Pelodiscus sinensis: one gene and its partner. The protein of the gene in region 2 purifies or fractionates together with the protein of the main gene of each other region. This does not show direct contact. Links are inferred from orthologs where the notes say so. Each region holds a gene or a part of one and is shown on either strand. Other genes may lie near its edges.

The links.
Region 1: the proteins of CRK (region 2) and ASAP1 purify together in Homo sapiens (affinity purification with mass spectrometry; 3 studies listed by BioGRID and IntAct, with this or other methods). This does not show direct contact. The link is inferred for Pelodiscus sinensis from reciprocal best matches to the Homo sapiens genes CRK and ASAP1.

The regions. Positions count from the first base shown.
Region 1 is NC_134712.1:15,525,871-15,532,892, reverse strand, and holds the start of ASAP1 (arf-GAP with SH3 domain, ANK repeat and PH domain-containing protein 1), read right to left. Parts: upstream 3,035-7,022; 5' UTR 2,928-3,034; intron 1-2,927. UniProt on the Homo sapiens protein: Possesses phosphatidylinositol 4,5-bisphosphate-dependent GTPase-activating protein activity for ARF1 (ADP ribosylation factor 1) and ARF5 and a lesser activity towards ARF6.
Region 2 is NC_134731.1:1,453,140-1,460,515, forward strand, and holds the start of CRK (adapter molecule crk), read right to left. Parts: upstream 3,037-7,376; 5' UTR 2,952-3,036; coding exon 2,708-2,951; intron 1-2,707. UniProt on the Homo sapiens protein: Involved in cell branching and adhesion mediated by BCAR1-CRK-RAPGEF1 signaling and activation of RAP1.

The DNA of each region.
Region 1 (7,022 bases), on a different chromosome or scaffold from region 2:
GCAGGGAAAATTGAAATCCCTGGGACATTTGCAATTCTGAAGTGTCTCATTCGCATCCCTTTTCCGGAAAAGGGTGCCAATGTAGACACAGCCCAGGAGAATAACTAAGGAACAAGACACAGCAGAGGGCCAGTTCCTCAACAAGTGTCAGTTGTAGTAGATCCATTGGCTGAAATTAAGCCTATGATAAGCAGTCGAGAGAATCACTAGGGCAGGATTTTAGAGCTCATTCCCCTTGAACTGCAGCTGCCTTGATAACTTTCCTGGACACTGTGACTACATGGTAACAGATTTGTCCGGCCTCCCCCTGGAGCTCAATTCATATCTTTATCTAGTCTCTAAACAGTGGGGACAGACTCGGGGCTCACTTCTCAATGATCACTGAAGAGAATCCTTCCATCTCTTTGTTAAAAAAATGTACTCCTCCATCCTGTGCCTGGGGAATTGCTCCTGCTTTGTAATTCCATACAGTGGGAATATGCAGAGGCAAATACATGCAGGAAAGAGGCATGTTTTCTTCTGGTGTTGACTATGCAGATCTAAACAAAGCCTCCCTCCTTCTCTGTATCAGTTGTGCTAGGTTTGGATCAGGTGGAAAGGAAAGGAGGGATAGTCTGGGCAGTAGGCATCTTAAATCCTCTCATTGAATAATCTGGTCTGTGGTCAACAGGGTTGTCTTGAGGGGGACACGGGACTGGGGCAACCCCTCCTCCCCCGCCAGGGCCTCAGGTGAAGCCCGGGGCACTCCCCACTGCAGGCCCCTTTTAGCTGCTATTTCACCCCCGCTCTACCCCATTGCCCCCTCTTCTGAGCAACATGGCCATGTGGGCAGCAGGAGCTGGAGCAGCCCTGCAGCCTACTTTGCTCTGGGGCGACCCCCTGCTGCTGCTATGTCAGGCCCCTGTAATCCTCCAGGTCCCCTCCCATCCATAGGGGAATTGGGGAAGCCACCAGAGAGTCCCCAGAAGTGTGGGGCCTATGGGTGGGATAGTTCAACACAGTGGTTAGGCACTTTGAAACACTTCTGGAATTCCAAAAGCTCCAGGCTTGGGCTCTACGTGTGGAATAAATGGGAAAGAACTCCAAGTACTCCTGAGTTCTAAATAAACTTCTCTTTTAAACAATTTGTTTCAGAGCTGGCTCTGGATAAAAATCATCTTGTTTTAATCACTGTGTCTTGTGGCAGCAGCGGCTCCTGCCCCAGCCACTCTGGTACTCTGACACCATTTAAAAAAATGCTTTTTCTCCTTCCTGGTATAGAAGGACCTAAATAATTTCACAGCTAGAGAATGAATGTGCTTTATTTCATATGTAGTCTGGCAGATGATGTCAATGCACTAGGCTTGTTGTTGTTATTCTCTTTTTAAACTTAGTTACTATAAATGCGGTGGAGCCAACCCCAGACACACTGATTTCAAAGGGAGAAGAAAATCCCACAACTCTGGCAGAAGCTAATTGCTTGCAGGCAATCTTGCTGCCACAATCTCTCTGTCCTCAGGGTCCTAAGTCCCCTAGGTTATTCCATCAGAACAGGGTTTCTTTGATCATCCTACGCATAGAGCCGGCCTCCCCAATGTATAGCACATAAAAGAGGGACTTCTCTCTCTTCCCCGCTCCCTTCTGCAGCCAAGAAATGGTCTTTAAAGATAGTCTGACAGCATTAAAAAAGGAAATGTTTCCTCTCCTTCCTGACAGGGAACTAACAGACCAACTTCACAGCTAGAGAATCTTTTAATGCCCATATAGCTTGCCATATGACATCAGTGCAATGGATGTGTTAACATTATCTGTTAAAACCAAGCTGCCATAGGAGCAGCTGAGCTAGCCTCAGCCACATTGATTTCAAAGGGAGGGTAGAAAATATCACAGGTGGTTGGAAAGATCTCTTTTACCATGTGGACAGGGGCAGCTTGGGGGATTCAGCATGTGTCACATGCAGCTTCTTCTCCATTCTTCACCCTTGGGGAAATTTGGGTATGGGCTTTTTGTTGCTGTAGCACCCAGCTGTTTATATTTCTGGCTGCAGGATTTTTGTGCAAGAAGCTTTTTGCAGAAGGGATCTTCCGCAAAAACTTCTTGCACAAAAGCGTGTCCACACTTCAAAAGTGCATCGCAAAAGTGATGTGCTTTTGCATAGGGGAGTGTCCACACTGCATGGATATTCTTGCGCAAGAAAGCTCTGATGACCATTAACTGAATGGCCATCAGAGCGCTTGTGCTTTTTCTGATAGGCTCTTTTTGTGCAAGAAACCCCTGCAGAGTGTCCACACTTGTCTTTTTGCACAAGAGCTGTAGTGCAAAAAAGGAGCTATTTCTCATGGGGAGAGGAATAACTCTACCAGCAAAAGCCCTCTGTCCTGTCGATTTACTGTATTTTTTGTGTGCAAAAATGTGCTTGAGGTGTGGACTCTCTGTTGGTTTTTGTGCAAAAACACACGTTTTTTGGCAAAAACCTTGTAGTGTAGACATAGCCTCTGAGAGCAAGACTTGCCAGGCCCTTAGGCAAGGTGTGTGTGTGGGAGAAGCGGCTCCATGTTCCTGGAAGGGGCGGAGTCTTAGGTGGAAGGGGAGGGGCTAGGGACTAGCCTTCCTCTGCCAGCCCTTCAGTACCTCCTGGAGCTTGCCACCCAGGACTCCAGCAGAGATTTAAGGGGCCCAGAGGAGTCTCAGCAGAGGATTTGAAGAGTGGCCCAGGTCACCTCTGGAGAGGATCAGTCTCAGAGCAATTCCTGCCCCACCTCTTTGTAAGGGTGACAGCTGTCATCCAAGCTACAGTGACAACAACGTCCTTCCCCCGCCCCCTTCCCATCTTTCTAGGACAGAGTCTTTGGTAGAAAATGAACTCATCTTAACTGAGTGATTTCTACGCTTAGAATTCAACTGGTACCAGGTGGATCAGACAGGTCCCAATACTCTGAGGCTCTTACCTTCTAAACAGGGGCTACAAATCAATAGTAGGGATGGAGAAAACTCCAATGAAGTTCCTCCTCATGCTCATGTAGATTAGTTTAATTCTCTCTTGGTCCCCAGAGAGAGACCTTGAGAAGGAGTCTTGCTGCTGCAGAGCCATGGAAGTCTCTGATGTTGCCCCTGCCTTGTGCTCTGTCCTGCCTGGCTGATGTCAGGGTCTCTCTGTGAGGTCACCACTTCCCTACCACTTTCCCCCAATAGGCTGAGGTCCTGCAGCAGGCTTTTGTGATGTCACCGTCACACCCACCTGTCCCAAGCTGGTGTCCTGATCCTGGCCAGACACTTTGTGGCTACGTCTACACTGGCCCCTTCTTTGGAAGGGGCATGCTAATTTTGAAAGTGGGAATAGGGAAATCCGCGGGGGATTTAAATATCCCCCACGGGATTTAAATAAACATGTCCGCCGCTTTTTTTCCGGCTTGGGGAAAAGCCAGAAAAAAGCGTCTAGACTGGCCCGATCCTCCGGAATAAAGCCCTATTCTGGAGGATCTCTTATTCCTACTTTCAGTTAGGGCCAGATGGGACCATTAGAACATCAAATCTGACCCCTGCTTACTCCACCCCTCCTGTATATCACAGTGGCTAAGTTTTGATCCAAGCACATCTAGTCTTCATTAGAAAACATCTAGAAATGGAGAATCCATCACTTGCTTTGGTAGTTTGTTCCAACAGTGAAGCATCCTCACTGTGAAATATTTGTGCCTTATTTCTAATATGAATGTGTCTGGCTTCACTTTCCAGCCACTGGTCTCATTCTGCCTTTCTCTGCACAGCCCTTTACTGCCCGACATCTCTCCAAGGCACTTAAATACTTCTATGAAGTCACCTCTCAACCTCTTTTGTAGAAGCTAAGCACATCGAGTGCCTTTCAGTAGCTCACAAGGAGGCATTTTTCTCCAGCCCTCAATACATTTGGCTCTTTGCTGCCCTATCTGCAATTTTTCAACAAGTTTTTAAAATGCGGTCCCTAGGACAGGCTGCAGTGTCCAATCACAGTCTCACAGAGGCTGTCACCTCCCTTCCCTGCTCACACCTCTGCTCATGTGTCTAATGATGCCTTTAGCCCTGTTCACCATCAGCTTTCATATAAAAAGTGTTTGCAGAGAAAAGGCTGACCTGACCTGGGAGTGTCCTCAAGGCTCAGAAAGCAAAGACACATAAAAAGACCCCAAATCTATCTATCTATCTATCTATCTATCTATCTATCTATCTATCTATCTATCTATCTATCTATCTATCTATCTATCTATCTATCTATCTATCTATCTATCTATCTATCTATCGCTCCTGCCAACAAAGCAGTGTTCACATGTGCATTTGCCGTGGCAAACTTTGTCATTCACGGAGTTGGAGGGTTAAGCTTCCATGAACAATGAAAGTGTTATCAGTCAGATGCAAATGTAGACATAGCCTCAGAGATAAGTACAAGGCCTGGCTGCAGGATCATGAACAGGAGACATAAGGCTTAGGAACATAAGGTGTTGTGACCCAAGGCATTTTTGATGCCAAAGGACAGAGGACACAGGCGATGCAATTTTACCAATAGACAGCATGACACTGGTCATCACAATCAATGTGAGATATTTACACAGAAGATATTTAAAGAGTTATGTAACTGTACTGAAAATCATGTTACGGGGTGTGAGTTAATGCAGATCCCCAGAGAGCAATAAACATGACTCTGTTCGGGCAGGGGAAAGTTGACACATATCTCTATTATCTGTGTAATGTGTGCCTCATAACATAAGTCTATTTGCATATTGAGCCACCAGCTAACTGAGATTCCTAAACTGACAAGAAATCACAAAATCTACGGAAAGGGACACACAGCAGGAGGGTGTCCTATTTATGACTAAGATTAAAGGATTAGCCTGATATATCAGAAGTATGTAAGAGGACACAGGGTACCCTTCACTGAAGAGATGAGCTGGTAGTGTGGTCTGTCTTATGAACTGAGGAACAACCAACGTGGCTGGAAAATGCTGCAACGACTAGACAAGATAGTATCTGGTTAATTAAGTCTAGGCACCTGTAGGCGTGCGATGATTTTATTTTACATGTAACTGTTTATTTCCAATATTCTCGTTTGCTACTTCTCCAATCTACATACTTTGTGTAGATACTTGTTTTCACTATCTTCATGTCCAGGTGATGTGTGTTAAACACGTGTGTTCAACAGAGCAACGATCTGAAGGGAAATGGATAAACTGGTGTCTGCTGTATCTTTGGGAGCACCTAATCTGTGAGTGTTAGTGTCCAGTAAAACAGGGGCTGGGAAAGCCATGGTGATGCTCAGAAGCGGGCCTGAGGCTATCGCTAACAAAGCCTGCATAGGCTGGGAGGGGTGTCTTTATGCCTCACAAAACCTGGTGCCCCCAGGGTTGCTGGAATGAGTTAGAAGCTTGACTTGCACCTTGCAAAATGGTTGGCAGCAGAGCAGTTGGTGGGAGCACCCACCTTATAGCTTTTAACCCAGGGGTTAGAGCACTGAGATTGCATGTGCGAGGCCCACTTTCAGTTCCCCCCTCAGGTGCAGCGACAGAGAGAGGAGGTGAACAGGAGTGCTCTACCACTAAGCCATGGGATGCTCCAATGTGGGGCTCCCTTAGCCTCTCTGGGGAAGCTGTTTCACTGTGGATAAATAAAAGCTTGTAGGGATTGAGCAGGGCTACTTAGCAGTGTGTAGGTTCCCACTTAGGCTGGACCCTACCCCTTCATCAGGTTTCAGAGCTGGCTCTAGCCTGAGCGGGAACACCTACCTTGTCATTTTTAGCTGTGAATTCTGAACTCTGTGAGCCCAAGCCAATTGACTGAGACTCTGAGGCCTTGTCTGAACTGCCGCAGGCCATTAACCTAAGTTACACAATTCGGCTACATGAATAGCATCAGTGAAATTGATGTACTTAGGACTGCTTACAGCAGTATCTTCACCATGGTAAGTCCACAGCTGATGCTGCCATCAACTCCATTTACTCTCCTTGTTTTGGTGGAGTACTGGGGTCAATGGGAGAGCACTTGGTGACTGATTTATCACATCTGTTCTAGACAGGGTACATTGACCCCAGTTGGATCGATCTCTGTGTGTCCGTCCAGCCTATAGTGAAGACATGCCTTGAGACTCAGTGCTGTGGGTTTTCCTTTGCAGTGTAGACCTACTCTTAGGCACTTGAATCTGAGACTTAGGTTCAGAACTACAAAGGTGCTTAGGTTCCTAAACACCAGACTTGGGCACCTAAGAGCTCTCTGGAAAAAAACATCATAAATAAAACAAACATTAAAAGAATGTTAACATTGCACATTCCAGATCTCTAAATTCAATTGATGCCATATTTAAGGGCCAATAGCCATTAGGCATTGGCATTTTTTCATGGTATTTAATTGCATGGTTACCTACTATTTTTTAAATAATAGAGTCACACCTGTTTTGCTGTAGATACTGTTATGTATTGCTTTTATCAGCCTCTTCTCCTGACACTAATTCCTTTGCCAGAATAGTCCAATATCTCTTTCTTAACCTGGAGTTTCCATATAACAATCTCTCTGCTCTGGAAGGTGCAGTACATCCTCTGATAATTTTGTCAACACCAACTTTCCCATTTTAACCAGCAAATGTCCTTTCTTAGGTGCAATTCAGGCACTGTAGGAGTTAGCTAGGAGGCAGATTTAGCTGGGCATATGTGCAGAGCAGTGTTCTTTAGTAGCATATAGCATACTATATGTACAGCTCACAAAGGACATTTCATGTGACACCCCTAGACTCTTTCTCAAACAGAGAGTAGTACATGTTGCACGCATGCTAGATGTGTATAGACGAGTGCAGATACAGATAGTATGATAATATTGCTCCTGATATGAGAAATAGTATGTGCTCATGCCATAACTGACTGTATCATATATATTCACACAAAGGGGGAAATGCTTAGGTTAAACAGGCAACATTAACAGTGATGTTAAAAGTGTAGAAAATGCCTAGGTGTTTTTCTTCCAACAGAATGTTTTTAGGCTTCCTCTGCAGAGTTCATGAAGGTCAATCATGAGCCAAATGTGTGGTG
Region 2 (7,376 bases):
GGTCTCGCCGCGCCAAGGGTCGGCACTACCAGACCAACCCGGCAGCACTCCAGCTGCTCTGCTGCAGGTTTCCCTGATTCAGCTGCTGCTGAAACTGACCAGCAGCAGCTGAACCAGGGATGCCTGGGGCAGAGCCAGACTATCGGAAGGGGGGGCTATGAGGGGTCTGAGGTGGTATCCCCCCACCCCAGACCCCTCATAGCCCCCCCTTCCAATAGTTCGGCATATCTGATAATCCAGCACCCTCTGAGTCCTAAAGGTGCCGGATTATATTACATTTGTACTGTACTCTTTCCCCTCCATCCCATTACTTCATTCACTTATCTACATTGATGAGCAGTCATCTGTTGAAGTGGGCTTTACCCACAAAAGCTCACGATGTGTGTGTTAGGCTCTTTTTTGAGAAGGAAAGCAAAGTCCTTTTGGGACCCCAATTTTTCAGTAGTGATATCTGTCCCACTCCAAAAACATCTCCATATTCTAGTGACCCTGCCTCAGGAAAAGAAGGCTGTTTGTTTGCAGTAGGGATGTAAAAGGTTAACCAGTAAGCCTCACTTTTAGCAAGTAGCCCACTGAGGCAGCCCCTGTCCATGGCAGCCCAGCCAGGTTCCCTGCCCGCAGGTTATAAGATGGAACTCTGCTACTGAATGGCATAGACTAAGAAAAATACTAAAAAAGAGTGGACATTAAATTGCTAATAGTAAATACTGAAGTATTAAAAGTTAGGGATGCAAAAATCCCATTTAATCATTTAACCACTGAAGGTTATGTTTAACCAGTGAACTGCTTAAATGGAGGCTGCTCCAGCTGGGCTAGATTGCCTCCCCTCCCCCTGTCTGCAGCACGCACCATAGGCTGGGCTGCTGCAAGCGTCCCCTGCCCGCAATGGGCTGTTCTGGCCTCGCCGACACACCATTGGCCCAGAAAGACTAGAGCAGCCCTCTGCCCACAGCAGGTGGGGGGGCTGCTCCAGTCTGGCCCTGCTCCCAGTTAACCATAACTGGTAAGCATGACCCGGTACGGGTGAAGCTTACTGGTTAACCATTCACATCTCTGATAAAAATGCCAGGCTTCAGGGATCAAACTATTTTCTAAGTATTAGGGAGTCAGTGAGAGTTTTAATAGGGAGCAGATTATCTTGCAACTCCCTATTGCAAGCTTTCTTGCACCTTCCTCTGAATTGTGTGGTTCCGGCCTCCATCACAGAACAAACGTTGGATCAGATGGACCATGTGTTTTATCCAGTGTGAGAATTACTATGTTCCTATAATCCAAGCATCTTGCACACTACAAAACAAAAGCTAATACCCCAGCAGAAAGGCTGGCATATCTGCCATGCCCATTCTGGTGCCATTTTAAAGGCAGTGGTGCAGAAAATTCAGACTCAAAAGGTTTGACACCGGAATGGACCATTATGATAATTTATTCCGTCCAGCATGACACCAGCCATAACATTTCACGTATTAATTTCTCAAACCCAAAAACCTGTATTTGAATTTGGAAGAAGATGTCTTGTTAAATGTCCTATTTTGACTGCATTCAGTCAAGTGATAGAGAATCCATCACATTCTTTGTTAAATTGTTCCCAAAGTTAGCTGCTTCTCCACACAAAAGTTTACACTTATTTCCAGTTGAATTTGACTAGCTTCAACTTCCAGTCCCTACTGCTTATTGGGTCTTCTGATGTGTCTGTACAGGCAAACATGAGACTTTATTCCAGAATAAGTATCCTGGTTCCAAAGGTACTTAAATACCAGGTTCAATTCACCTTGTAACCGCCTCTTAAAGTTAAATACATTGAACTAATTTACTCTTGCTGAATTTCAGGTTTTCCAGAATAGCAAAGAGACTAATTTTTGGACTGTCTCGAAATTTTTCCATATTCTTTTTGGAGTGTGGCCAATAGAATGGAACACATTCTAATAATGGTTACAGTGATCCTCCACTCAAAAGTAGTATCTTACAGCTCAATATTTCCATTTATACATCCAAGGATCACATTACTCCTTTTAGCAACAGCGCTGCATTGGGAACTTGTGTCCAGCATGACTCCTAAATTCAGAAGCACTGCTTTTGGATACAGTCCTCCAGCCGGTAAGTATAACCACTTTTCTTTGATCCTATATGTATGATATTGTGTGACTGGATTAAAAACACAGTTTGACACTTGTATTTTCATGTATCAGATTTCAAGCCATTCTAGAAGGCATAACACATCTGCTTATTCTCCACAAATGAAAGGAGAAAATCAGGGTAATTTTGCTTAGCATCCACTTGTAACATCTCAGAGAGGTTACCGGTTTAAATACTTAAATTACGCAATTCAAATATTTCCTTTTCAGACTCGGTCATTTGGAGGTTTGAAATTAAACAAAGGAAATCTCCCCCCCCCCTTCAAGAATCTCTCATTAAAACGAGGAATTTAACGGTCTTTCCCCCACACCCCCAAGTCTCTACTATGCCAAATGTTTTCAAACGCCTCGTGCGATCGCTCCACGACCAGGCAGCGCTAGAGCGTCAGCTGCCTCCGGCGGGCGGGGCGATCCCCGAGCGACGGGCGATCTGGGGCGAGTGGCTGCCCCGCCGCGAGCGCTGCCGCAGGGGGCGGGAAAGCCCCGCGCCGCGCGGAGCCCGAGCAGGGGGCTGGGCCGCGCCCAGCGAGCGAGGCCCGGGTCGGACAACCCCCCCCCCGGCGCGGCGCACTCACCCGGGGCCCCGGGGCCCTCGCCGCCCGCCCTGCGGCCGCCCGCCGGCGCCAGGCTGTTGACGATGTAGTGCGAGACCCGCGAGCTCTCGGACACCGACAGCACGAAGTCCCCGGGGATGGTGCCCGAGTCCCGCACCAGGAAGGTCCCGTGGCGCTGCCCCTGCAGCAGCGACACCGCCTCGGCCCGGCTCAGCCGCCCCCAGTACCAGCTCGCCCGGTCCTCGGCGTCGAACTGCCCGGCCATGGGGGCCGCTCCCGCTGCGGGCCGCCGCCGCCCAAGCCCCCCGCTCGGCTCCGGGCCCCGCCACCCAAAATGGCGGCCCCTGCGCTGACCTCACCTACCAGACGTGACGACAAGTAGCCCGCGAAAAAGGGCGACGGTCCGGAGACGTCATCGTCCCGCGCAGGCCGCGCGGCCATTGGAAGGTCACGAGGGGCGGCCGCCATTTCTCTGCGGCTTTTCGAAGGGGCGCGCGCGGAGAGCCGCCATCGAGGGGAGGGCGTGGAACGGGCCGACTGGCGCGGCGGGTGCACCCGCCATTGGGGGACGGTCGCTGAGGGGGAGCGCGCCGCGGGTGGCAGGAGCAGGAGGAAGGTCCTGAGTACGTGCGGGACTGGACTATGCCGCCATGTGCAGAAGGTCGGCGACAGGCTGATTGGACGCCGGGGGGGGGGGGGGGGCGCCGCGCGCCTCTGCGGAAGCTGGCCCCGCCCCCACGCTGCGGGCCGGCTGGTAACGGTCGCTGCGCGCGCCCGGGCGGGAAAACACGGACTGCAACGGTCTGCGGCGGCCGTTGGTTGTGGCTGAGCGCCTGCGACAGGGCCCAGCAACCCCCCAGCCCAGGCGCAGAGTTGGGGTAACCGGACCCAGATCTGGAGCAGCCCGCTCCCTCAAGCCGCCCGGCCCGGCCGTGAGGCGCTGGGCTCTGTCTGCACTGCCGGGCTCCGCGGCAAACACGCGCCGGCCGCCAGCGAGCGTCCCCCCGCACGGCCAGGACAGCGCACCTGCGCGTTTCCGGGAGCCCCCCGCTGCCACGCCTGCCTTTGTGCCCCAGAGCTGTAGTGCAAAGAGGAGTTATCCTCGCCCAGAGGAGGCGCTGCTGGCCAAAGCCCTCGGCTCTGTTGAGTTTCTTGCGCAAAGATGTGCTTGAGGTGTGGACACTCCACCGGTTTTTGACCAAAACGGCTGTTTTTGCACAAAAACCTTGTAGTGTAGACATAGTCTAAGGTGCCACAGGACTGCGTGGTTTGAAAGTTACCCCTCTACGACCCTATGTCCAGACCGCAAAGAAAAGTCAGAAAAAGATACGCAAATTGCAAAGCACAATTTGCGTATCTTTTTCCGCTTTTTTTTTTTTCTTTCTTTCAGAAGAGGCTTCTCTGAAATTTGGCCAACTGCATGGGGCCAAATTTCGGAAAAACCTCCTCTTTCAGAACATCCCTTCTTCCTCATACAATGAGGACTACCGAGATGCCAAAAGAACACGTCTGCTTTTTGGGAAACTGTCCAGAAAAAAGACACGTTCCTTGGATGCGGTATAGCTTTTCCGGGATATCGCCAGTATCCCGGAAAAGCTCTGCAGTGTAGACATAGCCAGAAAGAAGCAGAGTGGTTGCTTCCCTCCAGGTAACAATTATTTACACTGGGTCTGATAGTAAACAAAAGTGTTCTTACTAAGTACACACAGTGGGATTTAAGTCAGTGTTTCTTAAACTGTGTTCCAAGGCAGTCGGAGGTGTGCCACGGAGAACAGAATTAAAAAAGATTTCAGTACCAGGTGGTATGGTCACCTGTTTTTCTAGCACCAACCACCACTTGGGCTTTTAGGACAAATAAGGCTGCTCACAAGTCACTGAGCTGATCACCAAGTCATTAGGCTTCCAGAACACCAGTAATGGCTCTCATTAATACATTTTAAACTATAAACAGACTCACACTTCATATTTCTAACTTCACATACAAGAATGATACACGGACCAAAATAAGATATACAGATCCAGCAAACTGTTACATTATAGGTTTCATGAGGTATTTTGTCTAAAGCACCTTTGACTTATTAATATTTATATTCATAAGCCACATTTCATAAAACAATAAGTGTTTGAATTAAAACCCTTGGCTGCAAATTGGGTAGCTGCAAAAGACTGTCTTTTAAGACAAGGTGAACCATTTTAATCAGGAAGGTGACTGAAGTACATAGCAGTTCCATGTTTGCTGTCTTGTTATTTACTCTGCATGACAAAGCTGTTTTTAAACTGTTGTTGCCCCAGTCAAAAAAACAAAGAGAATGCTAGGAGTCATTAAAAAAGGAATAGAGAATAAGACAGAAAATATCTTAATTCCTCTATATAAAACCATGCTATACCCACATTTTGAATACTAGTTACAGATATGGTCATCTCATCTCCAAAAAGATATACTGGCATCGGAAAAGGTTCAGAAAAGGGCAACAAAAATTATTAGGGGTTTGGAACGGGTCCCATGTGAAGAGAGATTAAAAAGACTCGGACTTTTCAGCTTAGACAAGAGGAGACTTACAAGGGTGAAGGGGGATATGATAGAGGTCTATAAAATAATGACTGGTTTTGAAAAAGTAAATAAGGAAAAGTTATTTACTTATTCCCACAATATAAGAACTAGGGATCACCAAATGAAATTAATGGGCAGTAGGTTTAAAACAAACAAAAGGAAGTTTTTCTTCACTCAGCACACAGTTTAATCTGTGGAACTCCTTGCCAGAGGATGTGGTGAAGGCTAGGACTTTAACAGGGTTCAAAAAAGAGCTGAATAGATTAATGGAGGTTAGGTGCATCAATGGTTATTAGCCAGGAAGAGTAGGAATGGTGTCCCTAGCCTCTGTTTCTCTGGAGGTGGGTGACAGGATGGGGGTGAGAAGCTTGCTTTAAGGCATTTGTTTGACTCTTTAGAGCCAGGTTTTATTAACTTAAGAGAATTAAAAATAACATGCGTTTTCAGCCATTGTGGCTGCCAACACACTTTGGTTAACGGTTTGCTGCTTTTTAGCAATTTGCTGTGGAGTTATTTTCGTTTTCAGGTTAGTAACTTTTTTTCAGAAACACGACAGAGCCTCACACAGAGCTTGCACCAGCACAACCTTTTTCTATCCCTGGATGCCAGGGAGGCCTCCACCCACCCCTCAATGGCAGACCAATCCTGAAGATGCCTGGAGGGATCCATATAAGGATCTCCTCCCATTTCCCTACCAATCTGTTAATAAAATCCCTAACAGTGGTTGCAGTAAAGAGCCCATCAGACTTACCCATGGAGACAGGATGATCTGGCACAACTCTCCCCTGGGATCCTGTTCATAATGCCAGATGTTTGAGAAGAAACAGGCGGCAGAGGAGCAGATAGGGTTAATGGACTACTTTACTGTTGACGCACATTTACCTTGGACCCCCAACACAATGTTGTGAGTGGCAATGATTTGGCACCAGTTAGACTTTATTTATTTTAGTATGTTAATTTGCCCATTTATTACTACTTTACATTAACCCTTATTTAGCTAAATTAACTTCCATACAATTAATATTAATAAGCAGGTGATGAATACAATTATATCTGCCCCTTTTTGTCATTTACTGGTTTTTAATTAAATTAGCATTACATACTGTTTTAATTAGCAGTTGGGGGGGGGGGGGCACGGCTTTGACCCTGCAAGTATTTTTGCAGAGCAAGTGTGAAGACTAAGCAAGACACTGTTCAGTGCAACTCTTTCTAGGCCGCAAGGACAAAAGGAAAAAAAGATGCTTAAAGGGCAATGCCTGCTCTAGCTAACCCCCCTGCTGCTGTTGTATTTTTTCCCCAAACAATTGTTTATTCTGGTAGTTTGGCTGTAACACAAGAGACCTACAGGCCACGTCCTGTATGTTGAGCAAGGCAAAGTTGTTAGTTTTGTGTGGGACCCTTCACCCAGAAAGCAGTTAGCTCACATCTGCTTGGGACCTTTTGCCCGGCTCCATGGCGGTGCAAGCGAGGGACTTTGCATGCCACAGGCGCACCCAAGAATGCCCTCGCGTTTCGCAGGAACATCGTTACTTAGAAAACCCAACATAACCAGTTGAGACCAGACTGAATAACTGGGTAGGACAGAAATTGTAAATGTGATCGAGAACCACAAAAGGCCCATGGTAATGAATTGACACGTGATAAGTTGAGATCAACGACATACTGACCTGCTGGAAAAAGACACGTCCCCATTAGCAAGGTGAGGAAATAAAAATGAGGGGAAAAGGAAACATCCCCTACTGAATATGCATCCAACATAACAATGTCAGGGTAACAGAATTCAAGTGGCATCCCAGCTAAGCATGGTAGGAGAAGGGGATGGAGTCTGTGGGAGGTGCCAGAAAAAGGCCATTGGTGATGATGGGGAAGACGACAGTTAACACCTCAGATTATTCTAGGCCAGTGGTTTTCAAACTTTTTGGCCCATGGCCCACCTGGCTCAATGCAAACCTTTCCACAGGCCCCCAGTCACTGTTAATTACATAATTACGCCCAAGCCATTTTGCTAGTGCTGCAGCTAGGAAGAATGATTTAATGGAACCAGTAAGAAAGGAAATATTACATTATGAAACCGATTAAGCACCTGAACTTTCTCATGTTAATTTATCAAACTTCATTTAAATAAAGTAAAATATTAAG